Linked DNA regions of Anolis sagrei. The protein of the gene in region 2 interacts with the protein of the main gene of each other region in a biochemical or structural test. Links are inferred from orthologs where the notes say so. Each region holds a gene or a part of one and is shown on either strand. Other genes may lie near its edges. The genes, in order: GLMN and FKBP4.

The links.
Region 1: the proteins of FKBP4 (region 2) and GLMN form a complex in vitro, tested with the Homo sapiens proteins (2 studies listed by BioGRID). The link is inferred for Anolis sagrei from reciprocal best matches to the Homo sapiens genes FKBP4 and GLMN.

Annotation. Positions count from the first base shown.
Region 1 is NC_090024.1:150,128,826-150,140,021, reverse strand, and holds the start of GLMN (glomulin), read right to left. Parts: upstream 4,686-11,196; 5' UTR 4,596-4,685; intron 324-4,595; 5' UTR 302-323; coding exon 263-301; intron 1-262. Other genes in the region: putative RNA polymerase II subunit B1 CTD phosphatase RPAP2, read left to right, coding at 4,739-4,796, 5,142-5,187, 5,660-5,774, 6,751-6,849, 8,583-8,648, 9,626-9,714.
Region 2 is NC_090025.1:104,712,900-104,724,325, reverse strand, and holds the start of FKBP4 (peptidyl-prolyl cis-trans isomerase FKBP4), read left to right. Parts: upstream 1-6,234; 5' UTR 6,235-6,435; coding exon 6,436-6,534; intron 6,535-11,426. UniProt on the Homo sapiens protein: Immunophilin protein with PPIase and co-chaperone activities. Component of steroid receptors heterocomplexes through interaction with heat-shock protein 90 (HSP90).

The DNA.
Region 1 (11,196 bases), on a different chromosome or scaffold from region 2:
TGTTTAAAAAGTTTGTGGACCCCTGTTCTAAACACTTCTGCTTCTGATGCAAACATGACTTCTAAAATGGAGTCTCAGTCTGAATAGTCCCAGATCTGCTCACATGGTCTGCAGTCCCTCCTACAACCTCAAACAATATAAGAGTTAAAGGAAAACTGCATGTCAAGATAGTAAACAATCATAACTATATACATAACAAATAACTAGTATAGGAGGATTGTAGAAGGTTGCAATTCCCAACACAATTTAACATGTTACTTACACATCTATGTATGATGGCTCGAAGTTCTTCTTCTGCCATTTTTTGTTAATCCGCAAGAGCCCTATTACAATTTTTTAAAATAGAATTGAATGAGATACACTTTAAATATATTGCAAAACTGGCAGAACCTTTTTTTTAAATCATTAAGATATCTTATAAGAACAAAGCATGAAAAGGGTATTTAGTAAAGTTAGGAATCAATCAGGTCAAGAAACTGCAGCCCTTTGAATTATTTTGGACTTCACCTCCCACCAACCTTAACAACACAGCTAATGGTGAAGGATGCTTGAAGCCTCACTCAGCTGTATCTTGAAGATTACGCTTCACTCTACAAGAGATGGTGAGAAGGAAACCTCTTAAAATCAAATTTGAAATCTTCCAGTCCATGAACTTATACACTACACAATGTGTATCTGTACTATGAAATATATTGTGAAGAATTTCCTAGAATAGGGATTAGATCGTTTTAATAACAGATTATATTATCTGTGCCAAAACCTTTAGGTACCAAAAGGGAACTGCAAAAATCCTAAATGACAAAATATTATTGAATTATAATACAACAGAAAGTGGGACTCAACAAGATACTCTAAACGTGTTGCATTGCCATTTACCAGAATGTTTTAAAGGGCAACCCTAGTTTAATGAGAATTAAAAAGGACACCTTCTGATTAAGTATAGTTAAGAGCTTTACAGCTGGCCATTAAGCATATTATAGGAAGCAGTTCTGCTGAGGGGCAATAAAGTGCTCTGAAATACTCTGACTTTTAAAAGCCAGGATGTATACATAAACTTTCTATTAATTTATTTTTTTAATATTTTTTTTATTTTAGGACATACACAACATTTACAATTCCCACCACCATGAAGATTGTTTTCTTTTACATATTAATCCTTTTGGAGATTTTTTATTTTCTTATTCTCATCCCATTCAAGAAAGAAGTAAAGTTACAGCCAAGTAAGAGCAGGCAAAGAGGAAGCGAAGCAAAGAGCACATTGTAGTATTTGGAAGCTATCTGCTTTGTGGGGCCAGAAAAAGTCTCTAGCAAGTGGTCTTTAACGTGCAAAACAGGGGAAAGGGAGTTGAACAGGACATTAAAGGAATCTGGCAGCACCTGTAAGATACATTTCTAGTTTATAACTTTCTTTTTTGTGTAGACATTGACCCACAAAAACGGATGCTAAAATAAAAACTAATCTTAAAAAGTGTGGCTAGATTTCCCCCAACCCTTTCCCTCGCTTTTCTTCTTGTTATGCTACAACAGGCTAACATAACCCCTTCTTTAAAAATTATTTTAATTGTCAATTAACAATATCATACGAAAACTGACTGGCACAAGCTGGGGATCACAACCAGACACAGTGAAGACATCTCCCCTTGCGCTATGCTACTCTGCTGCTGAGTATGCATGCCCAGTGTGGAACACATCTCACCACACTAAAACAGTGGATGTGGCTCTTAATGAGACATGCCGCATTATCACAGGGTGTCTGCGCCCTACACCACTGGAAAAATTACACTGTCTAGCCGGTATCGCACCACCTGACATCCGCCGGGAAGTAGCAACCAATAGTGAAAGGACCAATCCTTTGTTTGGGTATCAGTCAGCATGTCAACGACTTAAATCAAGAAATAGTTTTCTAAGATCTACAGAGACACTCGCTGGAACATCTCAGCAAGTGAGAGTCCAAAAGTGGCAGGCTCCAACCCAGAACCTCAATCAATGGCAGATACCAAATGAGAGACTCCCCCCTGGGCACACAGAAAACTGGGCAACATGGAAAGCATTGAACAGACTGCGCTCTGGCACCACGAGATTCAGAGCCAACCTTAAGAAATGGGGCTACAAAGTGGAATCCACGGCATGCGAGTGTGGAGAAGAGCAAACCACTGACCACCTGCTGCAATGCAACCTGAGCCCCGCCACAAGCACAATGGAGGACCTCCTTGCGGTAACACCAGAGGCACTCCAAATGGCCAGATACTGGTCAAAGGACATTTAATCAACTACCAAGCTTGCAAACTTTCTGTTTTGTCTGCTTGTTTTGTTAAAAATGTAATACAAATGTCTGGTTGCTCCTGACACAATAAATAACATTTTAATTGTTTCCTTAAAGGAAGACCATTTATGTAGCTAGAAGGAGATTGAAAAAGTGTTCAAATCTACCAGAGACCATACAACATTGGTCCTCAACCTGTGGGTCCTCAGGTGTTTTGGCGTACAACTCCCAGAAATCCCAGTTTACCAGCTGTTAGGAGGCAAAAACATCTGGGACCCACAGGTTGAGAACCACTGCCATACAACATAGATAAAAAGTACTCTGCACATGCTCAAGGGCAATTACTCTTTAACTATAAAAAGTATACACCCTTAACCGCTTATAACAGAGGGGGAGGGTGCATTAAAATGTGTACAGTCCCCAAGTTACAAACAAGATAGGTTCTGCAGGTTTGTTCTTAAGTTGAATTTGTATGTAAGTCAGAACAGGTACATTTTATTAAGTGCAACTCCAGAGATATATATATCTATCTACCTATCTTTGGTTAGCATAGGGAAAGGTTGACACGCCCATGGTGTTTCTTTTGCTGTCTGTTCCCCTGTTCAGAAGATTTCACAGCACTTTCTGTCCCTGTGAGAATTGGATTGTGAAAAATATGACTTGTTGTGGAAACAAGGACTGGTGATAAAGCTTCAGGGGAGACACGTTTTCCCCATGCTAACTCTTCCAGGAGTGAATTTCCCTTCCTAGGAGTAGATTTCTCTCACTTCCTGTTGTCTCACCCCCATTCTTAACTAGGAGTCGTCTATAAGTCAGATGTTTGTAACTCGGGGACTGCCAGTACATCCTTAACAAGATCAAAGATTCCAATGTGGTGCACAATTAGTAGTGAAACCTCAAATGAAATGTGCAACTCTATGCTTTGACCATGGGGTCATTGCATGGCTGCGCTCGCACATGAATTTGAACTCCTTCTATGGTTTCAGCATTGGAGTATGACTCTGAGACCGGGGTTCGTATTCCCACTCAGCCATAGAAACCCTCTGGGTAACCTTGGGCAAGTCATGCTCTCTCAGCCTCAGAAGACCAAGGCAAATAACTTCTGAACAAACCTTCCTGTACAAACCCAGTGAATGGTTCTCCATAGGTCTGAAACGAATTGGGAGGCACACAAGGAACAAGTAAACGTACTCTAAAATGGAATCTATAACTTTAGCTAATTAGTATAACATTTCATCTTCAATATAAACATATATATTTAACATCCAAATAATCTCCATAAAGGTAAAGGTTTCCGTTATAGTCTATAATCTCCATAGCTATTATTAGCTGTTAAAAGTGTGTACATTGGGGGGGGGGGGGGACTATACATCCCAGGTGCTTCTACACTATATAATTAATGCAGTTTGATACCTCTGTAACTGCCCTGGCTCAATGCTATGGAAACCTGGGAGTTGTAGTTTCACAAGGCCTTTAGCCTTCCCTGCAAAAATGAATCCTATGAGTTGTAGTTTCGCAAAGCCTTTGGCCTTCCCTGCTAAATGAATCCTGGGAGTTATAGTTTCACAAGGCCTTTAGCCTTCCCTGCCAAAGGAATCCTATGAGTTATAGTTTCACAAGGCCTTTGGCCTTCCCTGCTAAATGAATCCTATGAGTTATAGTTTCACAAGGCCTTTAGCCTTCCCTGTCAAAGGAATCCTGGGAGTTATAGTTGCACAAGGCCTTTGGTATTCCCTGCTAAATGAATCCTGGGAGTTATAGTTTCACAAGGCCTTTAGCCTTCCCTGCCAAAGGAATCCTAGGAGTTATAGTTGCACAAGGCCTTTGGCTTTCCCTGCTAAATGAATCCTGGGAGTTATAGTTTCACAAGGCCTTTGGCCGTCCCTGCCAAATGAATCCTAGGAATTGTAGTTTCACAAGGCCTTTAGACTTCCCTGTCAAAGGAATCATAGGAGTTGTAGTTTCACAAGGCCTTTAGCATTCCCTGCCAAAGAAATCCTGGGAATTGTAGTTTCACAAGGCCTTAGGCCTTTCCTGTCAATGGAATCCTGAGAGTTGTAGTTTCACAGGGTCTTTATTTTTCCCTCCAAACTACAACTCCCAGGCTCCCATAGCATTTCAGAGAAGGGAGACTCCCCTTGCACCAGCCTTGGAAGTGAAAGAAGGCTGCAACTCCTTTCCAGGCTTCACTTGGGAGCCTCTCTGAACCCTAGAAACGAAAGACAAAGAGTGAATCCCTCCTAAACTACTATGCCTTAGACCTGGGCTGTCCCTCCTCCCTGGCGCCCTCCCGCCTGTGACCCCAACCTGCAGCAAGACTCCCTCCTCTTACCTCCGCCTTCCCTCTTTCCAAAGAGACCGGTCTACCAGCACGGCCTCATGACTATTCTCAGGCCACGCCCCTTTGGGAGAAGCCACGCCCCTTTCCCAAACAACGCAGGCGCAGTGAGGGGTTAGAGGTCTTTCCCGGCAGCGATGGCGGAAGAGAGGACCCGCAGCGGCTCCAAGGCCAGGAGGCAGCGCCGGCGCCCGGGTAAACGCAGCTGTTTGTATCTATCCCCCCCCCTTTTCATCACATGGACTGTTCCTTCTCCCTTCCTCAATATGTGGAGGCGAAACCAATCCTATCTTCCAAGGGGGTGGCTTTCTAGGGATGGGAGATGCTCTATAGCTGTGATTATTCCTATACTACTGTAGGAATAATATAGTTGAACTGCCAGGGCTCAGTGCTATGGAATCGTGGGAGTTGTAGTTTTATAAGGGCAAGTTTCTCCCTAAGCAAACAGCGGGTTCCCACTCTGTTCCTACAAAAGCTTGAATTGATCATGTGATTTCATGTGGTTTGTCATCTCCCTGTATTTTTGGTTGTTCCTCTTAGGTAATAAACAGCCCAGTGTCCTGACAAATGAAGATGCTGCACAAAGGTATCCTGTCTCTCAGAATAACTGTTTGGTTGCATTATGTGTTTATATCTATTTTGTAAATCCTTCAAAAGGTTTATGAATCAACTAGCTGTCCCCTGCCACACATTGCTGTGGCCAAATCTGTGTATTTGTGTTTTGTGTGTGTGTATTTGGGTATCTATATATATGTGTGTGTGGTTTTGCGCATGCATTGTAATGTATTTCTTTTTATTTGAGGGCTTTTAGATGTTTCTCATGACTTTCTGATATTCCCTTCTCTTTGAGACACATATTCTGCCCTGTTTAACCTATTAAAGACTGGCAGGTCTTTAGTCCAGCTGGCACAGTTTGAAATGAAAAGTGGGTGCCATTGTGTTCTTTGCTTCAGGCATCAAATGTTTTGCGCTGGATCTGTTCGTACCCACTTGTTTCTTAAGCAACTTCATATGAATTGCCAAAATGTGGGTCACACCACTATTTTTTCCCCTTGTAGGAAAGCAGCACTTGAAGCTGCTATTCGAAAGAAGATTGCGCATGAGCGAAAAGCCTTGAAGGTGGTTGAACGCCTCTTAGAAGACGATATCACTGAAGAATTCCTCACAAATTGTGTATGTCGTCTTGTTGCAGATTTATATAAAATATTTAGTTTAAATGTGTCAAGGTCTCCTATAGCTTGTTATGCAGTTAATGGTTCCTTTCCAAAGATAGTTTATCAATCTTTGGAGAGGCACCATAGATGTGTGTTAGCTTGGCAGTCTATGGCCCCTTCTACACTGCCATATAAAATCCAGATTATCTGATTTGAACTGGATTATCTGGCAGTGTAGATTCATGTAATCCAGTTCAAAGCAGATAATGTGAATTATCTGGGAATCATATAACCCTCTCAATCACTGCTTCTTAAACTGGGGTCTCCAAACTAGGTCCCCATAGCTCAATGTGGGGGTCCTGAAAAAATTGGCAAATGTAAACATTTTCTGAATGTCACCTAGTTGCTGTTTTAGACATGTACATGAATCTGTTGTGCAGCATTTACAGCAGACTCTGCAAAAGGAAATGTTTGATTTTTATACCAGTTTTATCTACCCAGGGCTGTGTAAAACTGTATTGGGCCAAAAGGTGTCACAAGTGGAAAAGTTTAAGAAGTCCTCTTCTCAATGACCTTGGGCTGCTGTTGTCAGCATTTCCCACTATTGTCTAGGCTGGTTCGTGCTTCTAAAAGTTTAATTCACAGCATTTGGAGGACTGCAAGGTTTCCCATTTCCTATAGGACATATTCCAAAGGGAGACTCAGCGTGAGGTAGAGGCTTGAGCATTGACTAAAACAACTGTAGTCCAAGGTTTGTAAATTAGAGATGTGTGAAACAGGAGAAATCTGTTCTGTTTTTGTTTCCAATTTTGAGTCCGTCCACCCATTCTGTTTTCATGAAGATTCTTCCCAAAACAGAAATTGAACTTGTTTTGTCGAACCCAAATGACTCCCCTCCTAATCTTCCTTTCTACTGTTTTACACACCGCTTCTTTGTATCCCTGCTCATCCATGAAAACCCACATTTCAAGGCAAATCTGTTTATTTCTTTTCAGGGGAAGTTCATTACACCTTCTCACTATAAAGATGTTGTGGAAGAGCGGTTTATCGTCAAACTGTGTGGCTACCCCATCTGTCGAAATAGGCTGCAGAATGTAAGAGTCTGTGAGTGGTGTATGTGTTGGTTCTTTTTCTGTAATTTTTTGAAATTTAAAATGCATTTCTTCCTGAAAATTATCCAGTACTTGCTTTTTTCGCCCATTTTCATTATCTTCCTGTGTTACAAATTCAAAACTGATTTAAAATGTCTACAGGGTTGCTTTGTGAGTAAGGATGTGAGCCTGGATATCCGCAGTTTTGAATCTGATAGTATATGCCAGTGGTTCTCAACCTGTGGGTCCTCAGATGTTTTGGCCTACAACTCCCAGTAATCCCAGCCAGTTTACCAGCTGTTAGGATTTCTGGAAGTTGAAAGCCAAAACATCTGGGAACCCACAGGTTGAGAACCACTGGTATATACTATATTGGCCCCCGGCATGGGTTAAAACTATGTAGTGTTCTTGCCACCTCTTTGTCCTGCCTCTGCTTTCATCCAATGTGATCAAGGAGAGGAAATCAAGCTCTGCATAATTTAGTTCTCTCTCTAACCTGGAAAAATTGTGTTAAATCTTAACTGTGGTTTACTGAAATTAGCAAACATCAGATTTAGGATTAAGAAGATAGTTTCAACAAATCATTGCTCAGATTAAACATTGTAGGTTTTGTGCACTATGGCAAACTTTAGAAAATGAGATTAAGCTTTCCTTTCTCCTTGCAGCCAAGCTAGGAGGAGAGGGAGAGTTTGGCACCAAAGAAGCCAATATTCTGGCACATAATAATTAACAGTAATATATTGTTACAGGCATACTGGTCCATCGGCTCTCATCGTACATAATAACACACTGTAATGTTTTGCTACATGTTTGCTGGTCCATTGGCTCTCCTTATCCATAATAATACACTGTAATGTATTGTTTCTTGCAGACTGGCCCTTTGACTCATTTCACAAGAGCAAAAGGGGTGATTCAGTTTTAGTTGATGCAACTTAGGAGGATTCCTTGGAAAGGGCTGTCATATCTTGTAAAAAAAGGCAATCAGGAAGGCAATGGAGAAAGGGACAAGGGAGAGGGCCTTCTCAGTAGTGGCTCCCCGGCTCTAAAGATCCCCCCTCCCCGGACCCCCACATTTTATTGGGATCTTAGACAAGCCCCTACACTTCAGCACTTTAGGAAAGAGTTAAAAACTTGTTTTTCCAGTAGGCATTTGATAATTTTTAGACAGTAATCAGAACTGATTGCCAGTCACTTAGCACTTTATATCTTCATTCTGTGCATTCAGCTGGGCTGCTATATTGATTACATGGATATTTTAACTGATTCTATTTTAATAGAGCTTGTTTTATCCAATTTATATACTTGCTTTATGTAATCTATTATTGTTTTCATGTTGAGGTATTTTATTTTATGCATGATGTATTTTGTGTATGGCATCTTTATGTGCTGTTTTGTAAGCTGCACCGAGTCCTTATGGGAGATGGTGGCAGGTTATAAATAAAGTATTATTATTGTTGTTGTTATTGTATTATTATATCTGTCTGAAGAGATGTAAACCTAGAAAAATGCTATTTTAACTATAGGCTAAGGTCTTGTGGGCTAAAATTGTGTCCCCTCAAAATACAAATATCTTCACAATGTAAATCAAAATTCTCAGGCTTCTTGTCAGCTTGAGATATGTGGTTAAAGATAATGTTGTGGCATAATAAGCAATGCCAACTTGGGATTTTTAAAATTAAAGCTTCAGGTGGCATTAACAAATTTGCCAAACTGTGTTTGTCTTTGTGTCTTTTAAGGTGCCAAAGCAAAAGTACAAAATTTCGACAAAAACAAACAAAGTTTATGATATTACTGAAAGAAAGGTATGTTTAAACATTATTCCTATGGTTGTCACTTGATATTATTGCACTGTTACAAGACATTGGCTCTGGATTTCAAAAGATTCTGGGGATGAAATGGCAGACATGTGTATGGTCTCTGTGGCCCTATCTAGACTGACCATTTCATGTTGTTAGCTTCAAGCCGCAGCAGCCAGACAACAAGATCCCGCAAAAGTGTGCAAAAGAAAGCCCTTAGTGCACTGTAGTTTGTGGAATTGCCATCCAGACTCCTTGCGCCTGGAACACTGGTAAATTATCATTAATCAAGGTCTCCAGTGACATCCACAGCCCATAGAGAAACTACATTTCCTAGCATTCCAAATACATACTGAAATGGACAAAAGGAAGAGAGAAATTAGAACCAGTCGTCACTTCCTTGTGGCTACAGCAGCCATTATGGAGTTACAAGATGGAAAAGAGAGGCACAGTGCCCATCAAATATGTTTGGAAGCCTGCAAGAGGTTCCTGGATGAAACAACAACTAGTCATGTATCTGTGAGAAAACCAACAACATTCAGGAAAAATATTTTCCTACAGGTTGTCTCATTTGGCTCATATTTACTGTGCATACTGAACCTAGAATAATTTGCTTATTCCTACAAAAAAAAGCTTTTTCCTTTCCTCTTGTTATGATTAGTGGATTTCTGTGTTCAGAAACTGGTCTTTCATTCTTTACAAATTAATATCTAATGTATTATTTGTTTCATTACAAAAAAAAACTTTGGCTCCTTCCACATAGCTGAATAAAATCCCACCTTTTCTGCTTTGAACTGGAATATATGGCAGTGTGGACTCAAATAACCCAGTTCAAAACAGATATTGTGGGATTTTCTGTTTTGATATTCTGGATTATATGGCTGTGTAGAAGGGCCCTGGGATGATTGATTTTAGCTCACACCATGTTTGTATCTATTTTGTTAAAATGAGGACATAACACTTGCAATTTTTTTGTGTGGCAGTGTTTTTGCAGCAACTTCTGTTACAAAGCATCAAAATACTTTGAAGGTCAAATTTCCCAAAGTCCAGTGTGGCTGCGAGATGAAGAAAGGTAATTAAATATTTATGTAATAAAACAAGTGATCCTTAAAACTCTTTCTTTCCTGTTCACAGTGGAAGAAAAAAAGCAATGTACATATGTACTGGGAAATAAAATGTTTTGGGGGTCGTTTCCAAGGCCATAAAAAGACCTTATTTTAAGGTTTTTGGTTTTGGCTTTTTTTGTGTGTGTTTTGGCTATAGTTGGTACGCATGCTGAAATTCTGGAAATTATAGTCCCAAAAAACTTTTCCAATTTCTGGTTTCAGGTGATATTCTTTGACAAAGGCTGAAGTGTTGTTTTTCAGTTGTGATGGTATTTGTATTTAATTTGATGCCCTAGACTTGCTCAAATTCAAAAAGGTGAAGACGTCCTATTTCTTTAGAACACATGAAGTTGCTTTTTTACTGGATCAGGGTGTCCCGTGTTGCTAGTAAAAATGGGCAGCAATTGAAAATGAAAAATGCCAGTCTATTGACCTTGAATCTTCTGAATATGATACACCTGCTCTCTCAAAAAACTGCAGCCCTAATCAAGATTAACTCTTAAATCCTTCTGAACATATACTGCCTTCTTTTGGGAAGGACTTATTTTACAGCTGTTTGAACATTTCAGTCTCTTTGGAAGAAAAGAAGCTGTCCTACTAAGTTTGGTGGTAGAAGGGTTCATTTCCCCATGCTTTAGTCTGCCTGTATCAGTTGAAGATTACATGGCATTTAAAAATGGTGTACAGATAACTCTGGTGAGGAAATTATAGTAAAGTGTAATATTTTGGAAAGACGCGTAGGGTTACAGGAAAAAATTAGTTCTACAGTAGTGATACAGCCAACAATGGCATTATTAGTTAGACAGTGGTGAGCTACTGTGGCTCTTGCAAGGAATGTCCAAATACAAGAAAGCCAGTGTAGAGCAGTAGTTAATATGTGGGGTCTGGACAATGAAAATCCAGGTTCAAGGTCTCACCAAGACATGACATTCGCTGGGTGACCTTCAGCAACTCAAACACAATTCTGTCTGAGGGCCCTTCCACACAGCCATATAACACAGATATCACAGCAGATAATCCACAATATATGTTTTGAAATGGGTTATCTGAGTCCATGCTGCCATATAACCCAGATAATGTGGAATTTTATATAGCCATGTGGAAGGGGCATGATCTAAGTGATTTTGAGGGTAAAATGAGAAGCACAGCAGTGTGCTCCCCCTTTATTTCACTGGAAGAAAAGTGGTATGTAACCAGTAAATAATGAAACTACAAGAAAGGATATTCCATCTGAACATTAGGAAGAACTTCCTGACTGTGAGAGCTGTTCAGCAGTGGAACTCTCTGCCCCGGAATGTGGTGGAGGCTCCTTCTATGGAGGCTTTTAAACAGAGGCTGGATGGCCATCTCTCGGGGGTGCTTTGAATTGAATTTTCCCACTTCTTGGCAGGGGGTTGGATTGGATGGCCCACGAGGTCACTTCCAACTCCATGATTCTATGAATGTAA
Region 2 (11,426 bases):
AGAAGATCCAACCAGTCCATCCTCCAGGAAATAAAGCCCGGCTGCTCACTGGAGGGAAAGATACTAGAGACAAAGTTGAAGTACTTTGGCCACATCATGAGGAGACAGGAAAGCCTAGAGAAGACAATTATGCTGGGGAAAGTGGAAGGCAAAAGGAAGAGGGGCCGACCAAGGGCAAGATGGATGGATGGCATCCTTGAAGTGACTGGACTGACCTTGAGGGAGCTGAGGGTGGTAACAGCCGACAGGGAGCTCTGGCGTGGGCTGGTCCATGAGGTCACGAAGAGTCGGAGACGACTAAACGAATGAACAACAAAAATACAGCAAAACTTACAGAAATATGTATTCACAAGCTAACTGAGAGTTATGTAGACAATTGTCAGAAAATGTAGGAAGGAATTTCTTCAGCCAAGTAGGGTTACCTGAAGATGAAAACCTGAGGACACACCTAGTTAGCTGGCAACCTACTGAAAGAACAATGAGTAAAATCAAGTATATAATTGAATTACCTTAATGTTAAACACTGTTGCTTCAATGCATTAGTATAGAATATATGTTCCCATTTAATCTATATAAATAAATATGTAATGTTTGTTTGTGGGATTAACAGAACTCAAAAACCACTGGACGAATTGACACCAAATTTGGACACAAGACACCTAGCAATCCAATGTATGTCCTTCACTCAAAAAAATTGATTTTGTCATTTGAGAGTTGTAGTTGCTGGGATTTATAGTTCATCTACAATCAAAGAGCATTCTGAACCCCACCAACAATGGAATTGAACCAAACTTGGCACACAGTTCTCCCATGACCAACAGAAAATACCGGAAGGGTTTGGTGGGCAGTGTCCATTGGTTTTGGAGTTGTAGTTCACCTACATCCAGAGATCACTGTGGACACAAACAATGATGGATCTGGACCAAACTCTACACGAATACTCAATATGCCCAAATGTGAACACTGGTGGAGTTTGGGGAAAATAGAATCTTGACATTTGGGAGTTATTGTTGCTAGGATGTATAGTTCACCTACAATCACAGAGCATTCTGAACCCCACCAACGATAGAATTGGGCCAAACCACCCACACAGAACCCCCATGTGGGCCACAGCAACGCGTGGCGGGGACGGCTAGTGCAGCATAAATCCATATACAAATACAAGGGTCTCAAGTGAAAGATAGATAATATCAAACACATACAAGCATGCTGTATGAAGTGAAGGTAACTAAGGTAAATGATTATCTGGGCAGAAGTGGTAACCCTTTGGAGCACCTTCCTAACTGCCACTGTGCAGCTACCAAATCATGCGCAGATGCAGTAGGTTAGGACACTCTATAGCACAGTGTTAGAAAGTCATCAGTAGTTTTTCATTTGGTTGGTGGTTCCTTAGGAGTCTTGAGTAGTACAGTGTGCTGGGCCCTCTTATCAAGGCTGCCAAAGAAAAAGTGGAGAGGAGACATGACTGCTATGTTGAAATATGTGAAAGGCTGTCATAAGGAAGTGGGCACAGACTCAATGGAGCAATGGGTTCAAATGAAAGGAAAGAAGATTCCACATGAAGAACATTCGGAAGAATTTTCTCATTGTAAGCGCTGCTCAACAGTGAAACGTACTGCTTCGGAGTGTGGTGGAAGTTCTTTCCTTGGTGACTTTTAAGCAGAGGCTGCCTGATCATTTGTCAGGGGTGCTTTGATTGTGTTTTTCCTGCATGATAGGGAGTTGGACCGGACAGTCTGTGACTGTCATAAGGAAGAAGGAGCAGGCTTGTTTTCTGTAGCCCTAGAGACTAGTCCTATATCCCAGGATCTGATCCCAGGTTTTGTTTATCCCAGATTATCTGGCATTTATCTGGGATACACAAAATTTCAGTGTTTTGTTGACATCTCATGCCAGATCAGGAGACACCGGCCTGAAAAGTCATCTTTGGGGGGTGGGATTCAATACTTCCCAAGAAAAAAATCTGGTGATGCGCCTGCTTGTACAGGTGGGATTCAGCCCTCATGGCTGAGTGATTGCAACAGATTCAACCCTAATGTGGCTGGTCAGGAGAGGAAACCTCTTCTGTTCCATTGTTTCTTTGGCAGGGCTTGGATTAGATCAGTGGTTCCCAACTTTTTTTTTTAACCAGGGACCACTCTCCAAAATTAGTACCAAAAGGGTTACAAATTGGTTTTTGAGCAACTTTAGATTTGTTTTGGTTATTTGGGGTGCTAATTCAGAAAATGGCATTGGATAGACCACATCAGCTCTAGTTTCTGATACAGAACATAGGCCATCCTATTGCCATCTGCTTGCCCACAGAAAACGATATTTAATAATTTAGAGCTGATATGGTAGTCAGGTCTTTCGTGGGTAGTCAGCCTCTCTGGTTGTTTCGGTGTTATGAGAGGGTTTTGCAAGGTCAGTCACTCTCGTTGCCACATGATTTTGAGGCAATGGTATAGAAAAGGTGAAACAGCAGACTGTATTTTTGTTCTTGTGGACCACTGGTGGTCCACGGACCACAGGTTGGGAACCCCTGGATTAGATAGACCAGTGGAAGACAGCTCAGTTTCTACCTGAAATCCAGGTTAGTTCCCCCTCCCCCCCTTACACACACATACACGAGCGCCTTAGGCTTTGCCTGCCAGCTGCCACCAACTTAGTCACTTCCACTATGGGCAAAAGTATGATAGCTGGGACCTAATGCTGAGACAGCGCAGCGAGTGAGAGATGCAGAGTCGTGGCAAGATAGTTCACCAGAAAGGGATTTGGGGGGGGGGGGGGGGGACAAACAGCCAAGCATAGTGCTTAAGGCTATCCGGAAATCATAAGCAAACACGTTCAAATACTTAATGTCTTCGCTTCTCTAATTCTGACCCACGTCACGCAACCAGCATTGGGTCCTAGCTATCATACTTATATCACATTATGCTACCTATTGCTGCTATTGCAATGCAACTTGGTAGAAAGGTAGGTAATGACAGTGCAAATAATGAAAATAATGAAAATTTGCTTGAGACAGTGCTTGCAGTTCTGGAGGGGCTCTAATTTTTGCTTCTCATAGACTTGGCCTGAGGGTCATAGAATCATAGAGTTGCATTCAAAGTACCCCTGACAGATGGCCATCCAGCCTCTGTTTACAAGCTTCCCAAGAAGGATCCTCCACCACACTCCGGGGCAGAGAGTTCCACTGCTGAACGGCTCTCACAGTCAGGAAGTTTTTCTTAATGTTCAGGTGGGATCTCCTTTCTTGTAGTTTGAAGCCATTGAAAGTGATGGTTTCTAATATATGTCATTTCTTTATGCTTGTGGGTTAAAAATATTTGGTGTTGTTTCTTTGTCAGTGTTGATGAGGAGATTGTCAGGTTTGCCTACTCTGGAACATACAACATAGAATTGTCCTTCTTTAGAGGTCCCTCTCAAATCTATGATGATATATCTGTGTGTATGTGAATCAGGGCCATAGCCAGAAAAAATTTTTGGGGAGGGTTGAAAATTTCGGGGGGGGGGGGGGTTGAAAATTTGGGGGGGGGAATTGAAACCTGCCTCCTAGCTCACGCTGAAGCAAAGAACACAGCAGGGGGCAGAGCAGCCTTCAATAGCCTGCAGCTCTGCCCCTGTCAACCACTTCCACCTAGTCTGGCCTCCTTAATGAGAGCATTCAAACCCCCCCCCCCCCGAACTTTGTTGCTTCGCTACATCAGCTATTGCTGCAAGTAATGACAGTGTGAATAAATTGTCAATATTTGCTTGAGATAGTGCTTGCAGTTCTGGAGGGACTCTTATTTTTTTGCGTCTCATAGACTTAGCATGGGGATTTGGTTAACCAGTTAAAATTCATAAGTAAACCAGGTTTTTTTTTTAACCTGAAAAATTTCGGGGGTGGGGTTGAACCCCTAACTCCCCCTCCCGGCTACAGGCCTGATGTGAATCATATATCTATCTATCTATCTATCTATCTATCTATCTACCTATGGCTGGGTGGCTCTTTGTAAGGAGGGCTTTGATTATGTTTTCTTGCCCTTGTGAAGGGAGTTGGACTGGATGGCCTTAAGTATTTTCTGTTGGTCATGGGGGTTCTGTGTGGGAAGTTTGACACAATTATGTCGTTGGGGTTCAGAATGCTCTTTGATTGTATAAATCCCAGTAACTACAACTCCCAAATGTCAAGGTCTATTTCCCCCAAAACTCCACCTGTATTCATATTTGGGCATATAGAGTATTTGCTGAATGGCTCTCACAATCAGGAAATTCTTCCTAATGTTCAGATGGAATCTCCTTTCTTGTAGTTTGAAGTCTCCAGGGCAGCAGAACACAAGCTTGCTCCCTCCTCCCTATGAGGAGATCCCACCTGAACATGAGGAAGAACTTCCTGACTGTGAGAGCCGTTCAGCTGTGGAACTCTCTGCCCTGGAGTGTGGTGGAGGCTCCTTCTTTGGAAGCTTTTAAACAGAGGCTGGATGGCCATCTGTCAGGGGTGATTTGAATGCAATATTCCTGCTTCTTGGCAGGGGGTTGGACTGGATGGCCCATGAGGTCTCTTCCAACTCTTTGATTCTATGATTCTATTCTATGACTTCCTCTCGCGTTTATACATGGTCATCATGTCTCCTGCCAGAAGGGACAGAGTGTTTCATCTATGCTGATGATCATGCCATTACTGCTCAAGCAGAGAGCTTTGAGATGGTAGAACAGAAGCTTTCCGAAGCTCTAGGTGCTCTTACTGCCTACTACAGGGAAAACCAGCTGATCCCCAACCCATCCAAAACACAGACATCCCGAGCTCTGAAGATCGCCTGGGAAGGAATCCCACTGGAGCATTGCAGCACACCCAAATACCTGGAAGTCACTCTGGGCCGTGCTCTTACCAACAAGAAGCACTGCCTGAACATCAAGCAAAAAGTGGGTGCTAGAAACAATATCATACGAAAGCTGACTGGCACAACCTGGGGATCACAACCAGATACAGTGAAGACATCTGCCCTTGCGCTGTGCTACTCTGCTGCTGAGTATGCATTGCCAGTGTGGAACACATCTCACCACACTAAAACAGTGGATGTGGCTCTTAATGAAACATGCCGCATTATCACAGGGTGTCTGCGCCCTACACCACTGGAGAAATTACACTGCTTAGCTGGTATTGCACCACCTGACATCTGCCGGGAAGTAGCAGCCAATAGTGAAAGGACCAAGGCAGAGACATCTCCAGCTCACCCCTGTTTGGGTATCAGCCAGCACGTCAATGACTTAAATCAAGAAATAGTTTTCTAAGATCTACAGAGACACTCGCTGGAACACCTCAGCAAGCAAGAGTCCAAAACTGGCAGGCTCAAACCCAGCACCTCAATCAATGGCTGATACCAAATGAGAGATTCCCCCCAGGGCACACAGAGGACTGAGCAACTTGGAAGGCGCTGAACAGACTGCGCTCTAGCACCACAAGATGCAGAGCCAACCTTCAGAAATGGGGCTACAAAGTGGAATCCTCGACATGCGAGTGTGGAGAGGAGCAAACCACTGATCACCTGCTGCAATGCACCCTGAGCCCTGCCACATGCACAAGGGAGGACCTTCTTGCAGCAACACCAGAAGCACTCCAAGTGGGCAGATACTAGTCAAAGGACATTTAATCAACTACCAAGCTTGCAAACTTTGTGTTTTGTCTGTTTGTTTTGTTCTGTTAGAAATGTAATACAATGGTATGGTTGCTGATGACACGATAAATAAATAAAAATAGGGCAGCAGAACACAAGCTTGCTCCCTCCTCCCTATGATAACCTCTCACGTATTTATACATGGTCATCATGTCTCCTCTCAGCCTTCTCTTCTTCAGGCTAAACATGCCCAGCTCTTTAAGCCGCTCCTCATAGGGTTTGTTCTCCAGATTTGGTTAACCAGTTAAAATTCATTCGAAGCCCTAATCCGCCCCCCTGACTACAGGCTTGCATACCAGGCCCTTGTTCCTGAGGCCACGCCCCCACCAGGCTCTCATGGTGCTTCAACAGTGTTGTCCTCCTGGCGCGGGCCCCCACGTGGCCAAGAGACAGGCATGGGCTGACTTAAACAGCGCGGGAATCCACGCAAAGAGCGCTGCTTTTGGGCCTGCTTCACTGGAGGAGACGAGGGAGCGAGCGCGAAGCGGGCTGGCCTTCCCCTCCTCTCTTCTGGAACCTTCTCGCTGGCTGACTGACTGACTCGGAGGAGGTCCGTCTGCCGGCGGCGGCGCTGTGGAGGTTGAGGGGGCGGGACTTCCGGCGCCCAGCGGCGGAAACGGGCCCGCTTCGTCGACTGCGGAGGGGCCGCGCGCCAGGCAGGCAGGCAGGCAGGCAAGTAGTCAGGCTCGGCGCTGAGGAGCGAGTAGCCAGGCCTCGCCTCTGGACCCTCTGCCTCGAGGAAGAAGGGAAGACAGACGGAGGGAGGGAGACCCGAAGGGACTGCGTTGCCGCCATCATGACCGCCGAGGAAGGCAAGGCCGAGGAGATGAGCGCCGCGCCGGAGGGAGAGGCGGGCACCGACATCACCCCCAAGAGCGACGGGGGCGTCCTCAAGGTAAAGAAGGCCTCAAGGAGGCTCTTCAAGGGGGCAGGAGGGCGGGGGGGATCCATTCCACGCGCCCTTTCTCAGCAGAGGAAGAGGAGCCATGCAAACGACTCCTAGCTAAGAAAGGGGGTGGGACAGCAGGAAGTGAGAGAAATCTCTCTCTAGGAAGGGAAATCCAATCCAGGGGAAAAGGTGCCTCCACTGAACCTTCACCGCCAATTCTTGTTTTCCATAACAATCCCATTCGCACAGTGAGGTGAAATCTTCTGAACAGGGGCGCAGGCAGCAAAACAACAGAGGTATTAACCCTTTCCTGGGCATAATCTATCTATCTATCTATCTATATAATCAAGGCATAATCTATCTATATATATAAATGCTTTGTGCATAATGAGTACCTTAAAAACAAAAGGACAGATGAACGAAATCACACCAAATTTGGCAACAAGACGTCTCACATCACAAGGAGTGAACATAGAATCATAGAATCAAGAGTTGGAAGAGATCTCATGGGCCATCCAGTCCAACCCCCTGCCAAGAAGCAGGAAAATTGCATTCAAATCGCCCCCGACAGATGGCCATCCAGCCTCTGTTTAAAAGCTTCCAAAGAAGGAGCCTCCACCACACTCTGGGGCAGAGAGTTCCACTGCTGAACGGCTCTCACAGTCAGGGAGTTCTTCCTCGTGTTCAGATGGAATCTCCTTTCCTGTAGTTTGAAGCCATTGTTCCGCGTCCTAGTCTCCAAGGAAGCAGAAAACAAGCTTGCTCCCTCCTCCCTGTGGCTTCCTCTCACATATTTATACATGGCTATCTTATCTCCTCTCAGCCTTCTCTTCAAAACATCACTCAAAACATTATGATTTTGTCATTTGGGAGTTGTCGTTATGCCATTTTGTCATAATGATTTGTCATTTGGGAGCTTTCTGAACTCCACCAATGCTGGAATTGAACCAAACGTAGCACACAGGATCCCATGACCAACATAGGCATTGATGAGCATTGACCTTGAGTTTGGGAGTTGTAGTTCACCTACATCCAGAGAGCATTGTTGAGTCAAATAATGATGGATCAGGACCAAACTTGGCACAAATACTCAATATGCTGAAATATAAACACAGATGGAAATTGGGGAAAATAGACCTTGACATTTGGGGGTTGTAGTCACTGGGATGCACAGTTCACCTACTATCAAAGAGCATTCTGAACCCCACAAACGGTAGAATCAGGACAAACTTCCCACACTGAACCCGCATGACAAACAGATATAGTATCATAGATTTGAAAGCGACCCTTAAAGAAGGACAATGATATCTTGCATGTTCCAGGGTGGGCAAACCAGACACTCTCCACATCAACACTGACAAAGAAACAGCAAGAAATACCATTTACCCACAAGCATAAAGAAATCACATATATTGGAAACCAACACTTTCTCGTTACTTTATTTTCTAGATCAATAGACTGGGCCACAGCAATGCGTGGCACGGGATAGCTAGTCTATCTATATATAAATGCTCTGTGCATAATGAGTACCTTAAAAACAAAAGAATAGATGAACGAAGTCACACCAAATTTGGCAACAAGACGTCTCACATCACAAAGAGTGAACATCACTCAAAACATAATGATTTTGTCATTTGGGAATTGTAGTTGCTGGGATGTATGGATCACTACAATCAAAGAGCATTCTGAACTCCACCAATGATGGAATTGAACCAAACGTAGCACACAGGATCCCATGACCAACATGGGCATTGATGGGCATTGACCTTGAGTTTGGGAGTTGTAGTTCACCTACATCCAGAGAGCATTGTGGAGTCAAATAATGATGGACCAGGACCAAACTTGGCACAAATACTCAATATGCCCAAATATAAACACAGATGGAAATTGGGGGAAATAGACCTTGACATTTGAGAGTTGGAATTTATAGTTCATCTACAACCAGGGAGCAGGGGAACTATAAATCCCATTAATCTACAACCAGGGAGCAGAAGCCCCTGGTGGCGCAGTGGGTTAAACCCCTGTGCCGCAGGGCTGAAGACCAACAGGTCGCAGGTTCGAATCTGGGGAGAGGCGGATGAGCTCCCTCTTTCAACTCCAGCTCCTCATGCGGGGACATGAGAGAAGCCTCCCACAAGGATGATAAAAACATCAAATCATCCGGGCGTCCCCTGGGAAACATCCTTGCAGACGGCCAATTCTCTCCAGAAGCGACTTGCAGTTTCTCAAGTCGCTCCTGACATGACAAGTAAATAAATAAATCAGGGAGCATTCTGAACCCCACTGACGACAGAACTGGGGCAAACTTCCCACACAGCCCCTATGACCAACAGAAAATACTGGGTTTTCTAGGTCTTTGGTGACTCTTCTGACACCACCCTGGTGACCTCCCCCTCCTCCCGGGGTCTTGACTTCCCAGCTTGTGAAATGCTGCCTTAAGGCCATCCAGTCCAACTCCCTTCACCAGGGCAAGAAAACATAATCAAAGTCCTTCTGATAAAGGGCCATCCAGCCATTCACACACACATATATGTATATGACAGATGCAGTATCATCGATTTGAAAGGGACCCCTACAGAAGGACAATTATATGTTGCATGTTCCAGAGTAGGTAAACCAGACCATCTCCGCATCAACATTGGCATGAAACAGCAAGAAGTGCTGTTTACTCACAATCATAAAAACATTACATATATTAGAAACCAACACTTTCTCATTACTTTATTTTCCAGATCACCAGAATGGGCCACAGCAATGCTTGGCAGGGGACCTCTAGTCTATCTATAATTTTGCATATTTGTAAACTGTCCTTTTCACACACACACACCCTGAAGGGGGACTCTGAACGGCTTCACAACAGGCATTCATTCAATGCCAAATGATAAAAGCAATTAAAACAGAAAAATTACTAAAACATTCATGCAGGTTTGAAATCGTAGTCCAGGTCAGCTTTTATCAGGCAACTGGTAAAATGAAAAAATGAAATGCAAACATACAGAATGGGGGACGCGTGGCTTGAGAGCAGTATGTGTGAAAAAGATCTTGGGGTCCTCGTGGACAACAAGTTAAACATGAGCCAAGAATGTGATGCGGCGGCAAAAAAAGCCAATGGGATTTTGGCCTGCATCAATAGGAGCATAGTGTCTAGGTCTAGGGAAGTCATGCTACTCCTCTATTCTGCCTTGGTTAGACCACACCTGAAATATTGTGTCCAAGTCTGGGCACCACAGTTGAAGGGAGATATTGACAAGTTGGAATGTGTCCAGAGGGGGGCAACTAAAATGATCAAGGGTCTGGAAAACAAGCCCTATGAGGAGCAGCTTAAGCCTGAAGAAGAGAAGGCTGAGAGGAGACATGATAGCCATGTATAAACATGTGAGGGGAAGTCACAGGGAGGAGGGAGCAAGCTTGTTTTCTGCTGCCCTGGAGACTAGGACGTGGAACAATGGCTTCAAACTACAAGAAAGGAGATTCCATCTGAACATTAGGAAGAACTTCCTGACTGAGAGCCGTTCAGCAATGGAACTCTCTGCCCCAGAGTGTGGTGGAGGCGCGTTCTTTGAAGCTTTTAAAAAGATGCTGGATGGCCATCTGTTGGGGGTGCTTTGAATGCAATTTTCCTGCTTCTTGGCAGGGGGTTGGACTGGATGGCCCATGAGGTCTCTTCCAACTCTATGATTCTAACTGGATATCAGTTTTTGCTTATATTCAGGTGTGCTGAATATAAATATATGAATATATGACATCTATGGCTGGAGTTACACTTTAAAATGCACCTGTTTCAACTTACATTACAAATTCAACTGAAGAACAAACCCACAGAAGCTATCTTGTTCATAACTTGGGGACCGACCGTAATTAAAAGCATGGAAAGATGTTGTAAAAATGCCATATTAAAATATGTTTAAATTTGAGTGCAAAGCAGATACAATTAAAGCCAAACAATTATATGAATTAAATGTAAATTAAAGCCACTCAGCCATATTACTGGTGAGGAAGAAATGTTATTCGTTATGGAAATCTCTCAAGGCATGGTACAACAAATTCAAAAACATATAAACATAAAATATATACAATCAACTACATAGATAAAACACAATAATATAATAAAACTTGGACCAGACACAGAATTGACATATAGTAGCAATAGAATGTAAATCAAAACTCATGGTTGAATGCTGACTGAGTAGGCCTGCCAGGTAAAGCGAGGTAATAATAATAATAATAATAATTATTATTATTATTATTATTATTTCAGTTTAGCCAAGGGGCCTCCAGGAGAGTGGGGGAATAGTTTGGTTTCTGACTCAAGTGGATCCCACCCTTGAATAGATTCTTTTTAAAGTGCCTTATGCAGCGGGAAAGGGGGCTCCCGTCACAATATATCCAAAACAAAGAGGCTTTTTCAAGGGCAGCATGCCCACCTGGATTTCCTGAGGCCTGGTACTTGGGTGAGTATAAAGGTGGCAATGACTCAGGCAAGTACCTACTTAGCAAAGACATTACAAAGGTGTTAAATCAATCTCCTTTGCCTTAAAAGTGACATGATCTTATCAGTGTTGTCCATGCCTACTCCGGCCGGGAGGGGCGGGGGCAGCTGAAACCCAGTGATTCCTTGTTAGGGACAGGGTGTCAGGGGCAAATGCCTTGTATGGGTGGAATGTAGCCCTCATGGCTGAGTGGTTGCAACTGATTCAACCCTAATGTGCTGGGCAGGAGAGGAAACACTTCTCAGTTGGGACCTGAAGTTTCAAACTCCAAATCAATGTTGGCAACAAGTTTTGCCCCTAATGTCAATTGGCAGCATCTCAACATTGCTTGTTCTTCTGTGGACACATTACATCATTATCCATCTTCAGTTGTCATACCCAGAATAGGATACAGTAATCCAGGTGAGG